Saccharomyces cerevisiae S288C: one gene and its partner. The protein of the gene in region 2 binds, or shares a complex with, the protein of the main gene of each other region. Each region holds a gene or a part of one and is shown on either strand. Other genes may lie near its edges. The genes, in order: PCF11 and CLP1. A codon is read from its position in the direction of its gene.

The links.
Region 1: the proteins of CLP1 (region 2) and PCF11 are in contact, whole or in part, in a crystal structure (PDB 4C0B), measured with the Saccharomyces cerevisiae proteins. Residues at the interface, in NP_014893.1 of Saccharomyces cerevisiae: Gln154 (codon at 2,596), Leu156 (codon at 2,602), Phe167 (codon at 2,635), Thr168 (codon at 2,638), Ala175 (codon at 2,659), Pro177 (codon at 2,665), Ser179 (codon at 2,671), Gln191 (codon at 2,707), Ser192 (codon at 2,710), Leu193 (codon at 2,713), Thr194 (codon at 2,716), Ser195 (codon at 2,719), Gly196 (codon at 2,722), Ala197 (codon at 2,725), Thr198 (codon at 2,728), His201 (codon at 2,737), Asn202 (codon at 2,740), Gln204 (codon at 2,746), Pro205 (codon at 2,749), Met206 (codon at 2,752), Val207 (codon at 2,755), Lys208 (codon at 2,758), Val232 (codon at 2,830), Val233 (codon at 2,833), Gln235 (codon at 2,839), Arg236 (codon at 2,842), Leu239 (codon at 2,851), Asp240 (codon at 2,854), Gln242 (codon at 2,860), Arg330 (codon at 3,124); in NP_010514.3 of Saccharomyces cerevisiae: Asn460 (codon at 1,247), Thr461 (codon at 1,244), Gly462 (codon at 1,241), Ile463 (codon at 1,238), Ser464 (codon at 1,235), Asn465 (codon at 1,232), Ser466 (codon at 1,229), Asn467 (codon at 1,226), Leu468 (codon at 1,223), Asn469 (codon at 1,220), Ile477 (codon at 1,196), Gln478 (codon at 1,193), Ser479 (codon at 1,190), Arg480 (codon at 1,187), Asn481 (codon at 1,184), Trp482 (codon at 1,181), Tyr483 (codon at 1,178), Leu484 (codon at 1,175), Ser485 (codon at 1,172), Asp486 (codon at 1,169), Trp489 (codon at 1,160), Ala490 (codon at 1,157), Ala491 (codon at 1,154), Phe492 (codon at 1,151), Lys493 (codon at 1,148), Asp494 (codon at 1,145), Asp495 (codon at 1,142), Ile497 (codon at 1,136), Thr498 (codon at 1,133), Thr500 (codon at 1,127).

The regions. Positions count from the first base shown.
Region 1 is NC_001136.10:921,183-925,391, forward strand, and holds PCF11 (Pcf11p), read right to left. Parts: upstream 2,625-4,209; coding exon 744-2,624; downstream 1-743. Other genes in the region: chromatin-silencing protein SIR4, read left to right, coding at 1-465; IVY1 (Ivy1p), read left to right, coding at 3,603-4,209. UniProt on the Saccharomyces cerevisiae protein: Component of the cleavage factor IA (CFIA) complex, which is involved in the endonucleolytic cleavage during polyadenylation-dependent pre-mRNA 3'-end formation and cooperates with cleavage factor NAB4/CFIB and the cleavage and polyadenylation factor (CPF) complex.
Region 2 is NC_001147.6:800,470-804,443, reverse strand, and holds CLP1 (cleavage polyadenylation factor subunit CLP1), read left to right. Parts: upstream 1-2,136; coding exon 2,137-3,474; downstream 3,475-3,974. Other genes in the region: peptide alpha-N-acetyltransferase subunit NAT5, read right to left, coding at 1-67; TMA16 (Tma16p), read right to left, coding at 241-777; TUM1 (thiosulfate sulfurtransferase), read left to right, coding at 980-1,894; APC5 (anaphase promoting complex subunit 5), read left to right, coding at 3,713-3,974. UniProt on the Saccharomyces cerevisiae protein: Component of the cleavage factor IA (CF IA) complex, which is involved in the endonucleolytic cleavage during polyadenylation-dependent pre-mRNA 3'-end formation. Associates with HRB1/CF IB to form the cleavage factor I (CF I) complex.

The DNA of each region.
Region 1 (4,209 bases), on a different chromosome or scaffold from region 2:
GATCGTCGAGTGAAACAACTCGACGATATAACAGACAGTAATACAACAGAAATTTTAACTAGTGTTGACGTTTTAGGAACACATTCACAAACTGGTACTCAACAATCAAATATGTACACATCAACCCAAAAAACAGAACTTGAAATTGATAATAAGGATAGTGTCACCGAATGTTCGAAGGACATGAAAGAAGATGGTCTTTCCTTTGTGGATATCGTTTTGTCGAAAGCAGCATCGGCGCTGGATGAAAAGGAAAAACAATTGGCTGTTGCAAATGAAATTATTCGGTCTTTGTCAGATGAAGTTATGAGGAATGAAATTAGAATAACTTCACTTCAAGGTGATTTAACTTTTACAAAGAAATGTCTTGAAAATGCGAGAAGTCAAATATCTGAAAAAGATGCTAAAATTAACAAATTGATGGAAAAAGATTTTCAAGTGAATAAGGAGATAAAACCGTATTGACTTTTTATCATTCTACAAAAGACCAGTAACGAAGTGTACCCTGTTTTTCTTTGTCGTTTTCTTCTATAATGAACAATTTACTTTACGGTCTTTAATCGATTTTAATGATTAGTTGGGCTTTTGGCTACATATGTAAAATTACATATAATATAATGGACACATAAGCAAAAAAAAAAAAAAAAAAAATAAACAAATGAGCAACCCATCAAATACCAAGAACAAAGAATTTAATATAATATATAGTTATTAAATTTAAATGTATATATGCAGTTCTGCTCTTATTTTGTGACCAATTTCTTTAAGTCATCCAAACCGACCTTGCCACTATTAGATTTGCTTGAATTTTGCGACGTTTCATGATAACATGTCGAGTGGAAATATTTGCCATTCACTTCAATAGTATTTTTCCAAACCCATTCACCAGATTCTTCATCATAAACGCCAGTAACGGTTTCCTTACAAATTGGACATTTGAAGGCCATATCTTGTGAAGTTTCTGGTACAACAACATATTTTCCCCGTATTTCCAACTCGTTACTTCTATCACTTCCTAAAGTGTTGTCTACAGAGCCTTCGTCATTTTCATCAGCGTGAATATTTAGGGCACTTTTATCGATATTTTTATTGGCATGCGGATCAGTATAATCATTTTTATGCTTTGTGGAGGTAATTTCATCATCTTTGAAGGCTGCCCATTGAGAGTCACTCAAATACCAGTTTCTTGATTGAATATTTTTCCTTGTGGTAGTTGTATTTAAGTTAGAGTTGCTTATGCCTGTATTTGCTGTGTTTTGTGATCCCTTAATTCTTGTATTTATTCTGAAATGCCAGTCCAAATGCTCATTTTGTAGTAGTTTTTCACTTTCTGAGTTGCCAAATCTCTTACCACACACGCTACATTTATTTGGCTTGGATCGGTATAATAAGTGAATAAGATTATTTTGGACGATGGGATTTTCTTGAAGAAGAGTTTGTTCGGACAGCTGCAGGGATGGGTTATTCAAAACGTCGATGTTAACCGTGGCAAAATAAGCTTTGCAGTCAGAAAGAATATCATTTAATAAGGGTATCTTTGGCAGGTTCTTCATCAATTGTTTTTCGTGTGAATCAAGAGAGTAGTTTGAGTGTCCATTTAGCTTTTTATAAAGCGTTACGATGGATTCTTTTGGTGGAGTATATATGAGCCCTTCAGCCTTAAGAGATGCATAGAGGTTATTGATTTTGTTTAGGGACTTTTTTTTCTCAATTTCTTGAAAAGATTCAACGCCAGAAATATTACCAAAAAGAGAGGAAGATAAAGAATTCTGTTGGTTCGTTGTATCTGAATTATTTCCAAACAATGGAATCGCTGAATTAGAGTTTTGTGTGTAAGAACCGACCATATCCTTAGTTTCGTGATACTGCTGCTGCTGCTGCTGTTGTTGTTGTTGCTGTTGCTGCTGTTGTTGCTGTTGCTGCTGAAGTTCGTGATACCTCATTCTTTCCTGCAAAACTTGTTGGTCCTGTGAGAAGACCTGCCTTAGTTGCATTTGAACTTGTTTCAGAGCATTGAGAGTTAGTTTTTCTCTTTTCAGTTCTTGTTTCAACTGAGATAAAACCAACAGTTTCATTTTTAATTTTTCATCATTTGGTTGATTCTTTAGCCTTTCACTAGTTAAACAAGTTAATTTATCAATGTCTCTTAATAGGAGGGGAACAGTCGGAGTTGGTAACATTGCTTGCAGGTTTTTCTGGTGGAGAGCACTGGCCTTTATTAAAAACTGTTCAATTTTCTCCAGTGCTGAGCCTTCAAACAGAGGCAGGCCGGTGTCATTAGGATTCAACCAAAGCTTAAACATATTGATGAGTTTTGTTCTTGTGGTGTTGTCCACCAATAAGTATGTTCTTTTGTACAAGTTAAACAAATTTCTACTGAAGTAGATTGTGTATGGGCTGCCAACATTCTTACAAATGGAGTCCAAGGCATAAAAAGCGTATAGCTTCTGCTTAGGCATACATTTTTCAATTCTACTCTCAATGGCGTCAACAAAATATTGAGCACACGAAATGTTTTCTTCTGCTAACTTCGTGAGAGTGGTAATAATGGGTCTCGAGTTAAAAGTTAATTCTTCAAGAATACTGTTGAAATCCTTGACTATAACTTCTGTGTCGTGATCCATAATGAAAAGAGAGTATTACAAATAGACCTAGTGTTTTCAAGTACAGTTTTCTTAACTGCTCCGAAAATTGTCCTGGTAATTCTTTGCAATGCAAAATTGAAAGAGAGACTTTTAAACTACTAAACCCTTAACAGTAGAACAACATTGTCTCATTAATTTTTGAAATTTCGCTTTCTTCCCATGCCTTAGGCCAAGTTCTCATCCAATGCGTCGAGTCCTTAAAAAAAATTCGCCCGGGTAAACTAAAACTTAGATGCACTAGGTAATACCATTTGGTGATAAAGGGAATAAAAAGCAGCAAATCCTAGCTCAATTACGAAACTCTGATCACTTGGGGCCCAGCTTCATTGGCTAAATTGGTGTATCCCTTGAACCGACTACGTAAGTACGTTTTGAAAAGTGTGTAAATCTATGTATAAAAGTACATCAAAAATTAGACTGAGAAAGTTCTGTATAGCTGTACTAATACATTAGGAATAGGCTAGACTTCTTCGCCGCTGGAATAAAACAGCTGGGCCTTCTCTTCATTGGTACCACTTGCTTTGCTCTATTGAAAGTACAAAGAATAGAGCAGACGAGTGTAAACATCCTATCTGCGTTCCAACAGAAGTGCGTATTGAAGTCATCTCATGCTAATGGCCATCTCATGTAGAATAGTAAGGAAAAACGTATCTAATTTATAAAAACTTGAGTTAGATCTCAAACTTCGGTAGATTGCGCCTTATTTAACGGATGATATACACTTATTCTACTGCTCACATTACTCGTTTTACAGGAAAAAATGGTCAATGCGGGCAAAAGAAAAAAATATTGGGCGATATGTTACAAGAAAAGGGTGAGATGGAAATTTATGCTAAACATTAAGTGGAAAAAAACCATATCCATACAATAGAAGTATATATTCTGAATAAAGGGTCAATTAAATTTCACCAAGGAATAAAATATTGTTAAAGAAAGTAACAGGAAGAGAAATCGGATATGCCTGACAATAATACGGAGCAATTGCAGGGATCTCCTTCAAGTGACCAGAGACTGAGGGTTGACTGGGACAACGGTAACCATTTTGACGTCTCTCCCGACAGATACGCGCCTCATCTATCTGAATTTTACCCAATTGTAAATAGTAAAAGACCAGTGGCTAGCAGTGCTGGCTCAGAAAATAACGACCATCTGGACGACATGAACCATTTACGTTCATCCAAAGTGTATTCAAAGGCCCGTCGGGCATCGAGCATAACTTCTGGTACGAGCACAATAAACGACTTGCAAACGCTAATCACAAAGAGAGATGTGAAAGAGACCCAGGAAGCCCTATCGACATTACTCAGGAACTCGAATGCTTATTCGGATTCGTTATTAAAGACATCTCAGAATGGGGCAGAAATTGCCCATTCCTTAGAAAACATTGCCAAGTTGAAGGGTTGCAATGATGAAACGGCGGAGAAACTATTGAGTGCCAGTGGGTTATTCTACCTTTTATCTAATCATCAGCTTATAATGTCAAAGTATTTCAATGACTTGTTGGGAGATAATTTAATTGATGATATTGATGAATTCGAATTACAGACCAAGATAATGGAGAACA
Region 2 (3,974 bases):
CTAGTTTGGTTAGCATGCCCAAATTGTTAGCGTAAACATTGTCTAATGTGCATATATCACGGCCCATATTTCGCACTACTCCCTTCAATTGTCTTTGCCAATTTGTTTGTTACGGATTAATTTGTGAAAAAGCTTCGCTAATAATATCAATTTTCTTTTTTTTCTTTGCTTTTTCTACTATAATATACATAAAATTATATAAAGAGCATATAAACCATAAAGATTCCTCTGCGACACTTCTTATTCATTTCCTCCAACGACTTGTTCACCTTTATCATTAATTCTGATCAATCTTAGAGTATTCAAAAGGCCAAAAGTGCCATTCCAGTTTCTTAGAAATTCCATATTCTTCGCATCACTCAAGTCTGGACAGAGAAACCCCGCCTTAAATTCTTTTAACTCTTGATCCCTCCTTTGTTGCAGTAGCACTTGTCTATTGCTTGGTGGCCTGTTTGACCTCCTCTTCTTCTTGAGTTCGTCTAATTCCGTATCATCTCTTTCAATAAAACTTTGAATAAACTCTCTTGTGTGGGCGTGATCAAATATTGGTTGCCCTTTGAATGTATCAGAGTTAACTACATCCTGCATAAATTTTACCCGAGCTAGTTCGTGGACTCTTTTGTCTTGATGAAGCTTCTTTTTGGCTGCGATTTTATCTTCACGCATAGTAGCCCTGACCAGCTTTTCATACTTTCTACCCTTCGGATGAACCGTGATATTTTTCCCTTTCTTGGATAAGTTCTTTTGCAACTTAGATAAAGATTTAGTAACCGGCATGATTAGTTTGTCGTGGTAAGTCCTGTTCCGATACTTTTCTTCTTAGAAAGTACCTTTAAAGAGCTCATCTCTCATCTCGTCTATTAAACCATTTTAAAATTTTCGCTCGGGATGTTCAGCTGTGTACAATAATACAGCGTAAGTGCATTCAAACAATGAGGACAAAAGCATAAAGTTGTGAAGAAAATTGCCCATACATTCAATGCCATTATTTGATCTTATTTCTCCAAAAGCGTTTGTTAAGTTAGTGGCCAGTGAGAAGGTTCATAGAATCGTTCCAGTTGATGCAACATGGTACCTACCCAGTTGGAAGCTTGATAATAAAGTGGATTTCTTGACCAAACCACGTATACCAAACTCCATTTTCTTTGATATTGATGCAATCAGTGACAAAAAATCGCCCTATCCACATATGTTCCCTACAAAGAAGGTTTTTGACGACGCTATGAGTAATTTAGGAGTTCAAAAAGATGATATATTAGTGGTTTACGATCGTGTTGGTAACTTTAGCTCCCCTAGATGTGCTTGGACATTAGGAGTGATGGGACATCCTAAGGTGTACTTACTAAATAATTTCAACCAGTACAGAGAGTTTAAGTACCCTCTAGATTCCTCTAAGGTGGCAGCGTTTTCACCCTATCCAAAGAGTCATTATGAGTCCTCAGAAAGTTTCCAAGACAAGGAGATTGTAGACTATGAGGAAATGTTCCAATTGGTAAAGAGTGGGGAACTGGCTAAGAAATTCAATGCTTTCGATGCAAGGTCGCTCGGTAGATTCGAAGGTACAGAACCAGAGCCTCGTTCCGACATTCCATCGGGGCATATTCCAGGTACCCAACCATTACCATATGGAAGTTTACTTGATCCGGAGACCAAAACGTACCCAGAAGCTGGGGAGGCGATACACGCTACTTTGGAAAAGGCATTGAAAGACTTTCATTGCACTTTGGACCCAAGTAAACCAACTATTTGCTCTTGTGGAACTGGCGTTTCAGGAGTCATTATCAAGACAGCATTGGAGCTAGCAGGAGTTCCCAATGTTAGATTATATGATGGATCCTGGACCGAGTGGGTCTTGAAATCCGGGCCCGAGTGGATTGCTGAAAACAGAGATTAATAAGAGAAATATATTCTTGACAAGTCGATTTATTTAGCTACATATATTAATTATCTATCTACTTACTTAAAGGGCGATCTCCCTTTCTTTGTCTTATTTGTGCTCTTCATTGTTATTGCCCGGTAAAATAGAAAATAACAGCAAAAAATAAGACTGCTGGCAAAAATGAGCAGAGACCTTTCTATCGAGGGAAAAGAACAAACTATTAATTCTTTTCGAAATTCCAACACGATTAAACCATCATGGCAAGTCTACCTGGTATTGATGAGCATACTACCTCTGAAGAATTGATAACTGGTGATAACGAATGGCACAAGTTGGTTATTCCCAAGGGCAGTGATTGGCAAATTGATCTTAAAGCAGAGGGAAAACTGATAGTCAAGGTAAACTCGGGCATAGTTGAGATATTTGGCACCGAGTTGGCAGTAGATGATGAGTACACTTTTCAGAACTGGAAGTTTCCCATATACGCTGTCGAAGAAACAGAATTATTATGGAAATGTCCTGATTTAACTACGAATACAATAACTGTCAAGCCTAACCATACTATGAAATATATTTATAATCTACACTTCATGTTGGAGAAGATACGAATGTCTAACTTTGAAGGCCCTCGAGTGGTGATTGTTGGTGGTTCGCAAACCGGGAAGACTTCCCTATCGAGGACACTATGTTCTTACGCTTTGAAATTCAACGCTTACCAACCACTATACATCAATCTTGACCCTCAACAGCCCATTTTTACTGTTCCTGGATGCATATCTGCCACCCCAATATCAGATATACTTGATGCACAACTACCCACTTGGGGTCAGAGTCTCACTAGTGGTGCCACACTACTACATAATAAGCAGCCAATGGTGAAAAATTTTGGCCTGGAAAGGATTAATGAGAACAAAGATCTATACCTTGAGTGTATAAGCCAGTTAGGTCAAGTAGTAGGTCAAAGGTTACATTTGGATCCTCAAGTCAGGAGATCAGGGTGCATTGTCGATACGCCATCAATATCACAACTGGATGAAAATTTGGCTGAACTGCACCATATCATTGAGAAACTCAATGTTAACATTATGCTAGTACTATGTTCTGAAACGGATCCTCTTTGGGAGAAAGTAAAAAAGACATTTGGTCCAGAATTGGGAAATAATAATATTTTTTTCATTCCTAAATTGGATGGTGTATCCGCAGTTGATGATGTATACAAAAGATCCTTGCAGAGGACATCCATAAGAGAGTACTTTTACGGCTCTCTTGATACAGCCTTGAGTCCTTATGCTATTGGTGTTGATTATGAGGATTTAACTATTTGGAAACCTAGCAATGTTTTCGATAACGAGGTCGGTAGGGTGGAACTGTTCCCCGTCACTATAACTCCAAGTAACCTACAGCACGCTATTATAGCCATAACGTTCGCAGAAAGAAGGGCAGATCAGGCAACAGTAATAAAATCGCCTATTTTAGGATTCGCTTTGATTACAGAAGTTAATGAAAAAAGGCGTAAATTAAGGGTTTTACTACCTGTCCCAGGCCGACTTCCCAGCAAGGCGATGATTCTAACTTCATATAGATATTTAGAGTAAGTAAAATTATCTGTTCAAGAGCCTTATATCAAATCCATACAAATATCGTACTGTACTGTCGAAGTATTGTTTGGGTGATTTTTATTTTTAATTTTTCCAACGCTTATATATTAACAATATTGCCAATTTGTGTCTTTGACATTATTTGCGCTAGCTAAAAAACTGCTGCAGTTTCATCGAGGAATATAAAAAACGACGAGAGTTAAAAGGAAAAGGCAAATCAAAACTGATCAGAAAAATGAGTAAGTATGGTCCATTGGGTATTACTAACTTTATTACTCCGTACGATCTATGCATATTAATCCTAATACATGCTCACTGCTCACAAGATAATGGCATATCAGTGCCAACAGCAGTATTTCTTCGGTTAATATCCCCTACTAGACCTTCACTAGAATGGAATCCTCTGCTCAAGGATAATAGTAATTTAAGATCTTCATCTATTGTTCCTCCTCCTGTACTTCCTATTCTAGATAATATAATAAGGATACTGTTAGATG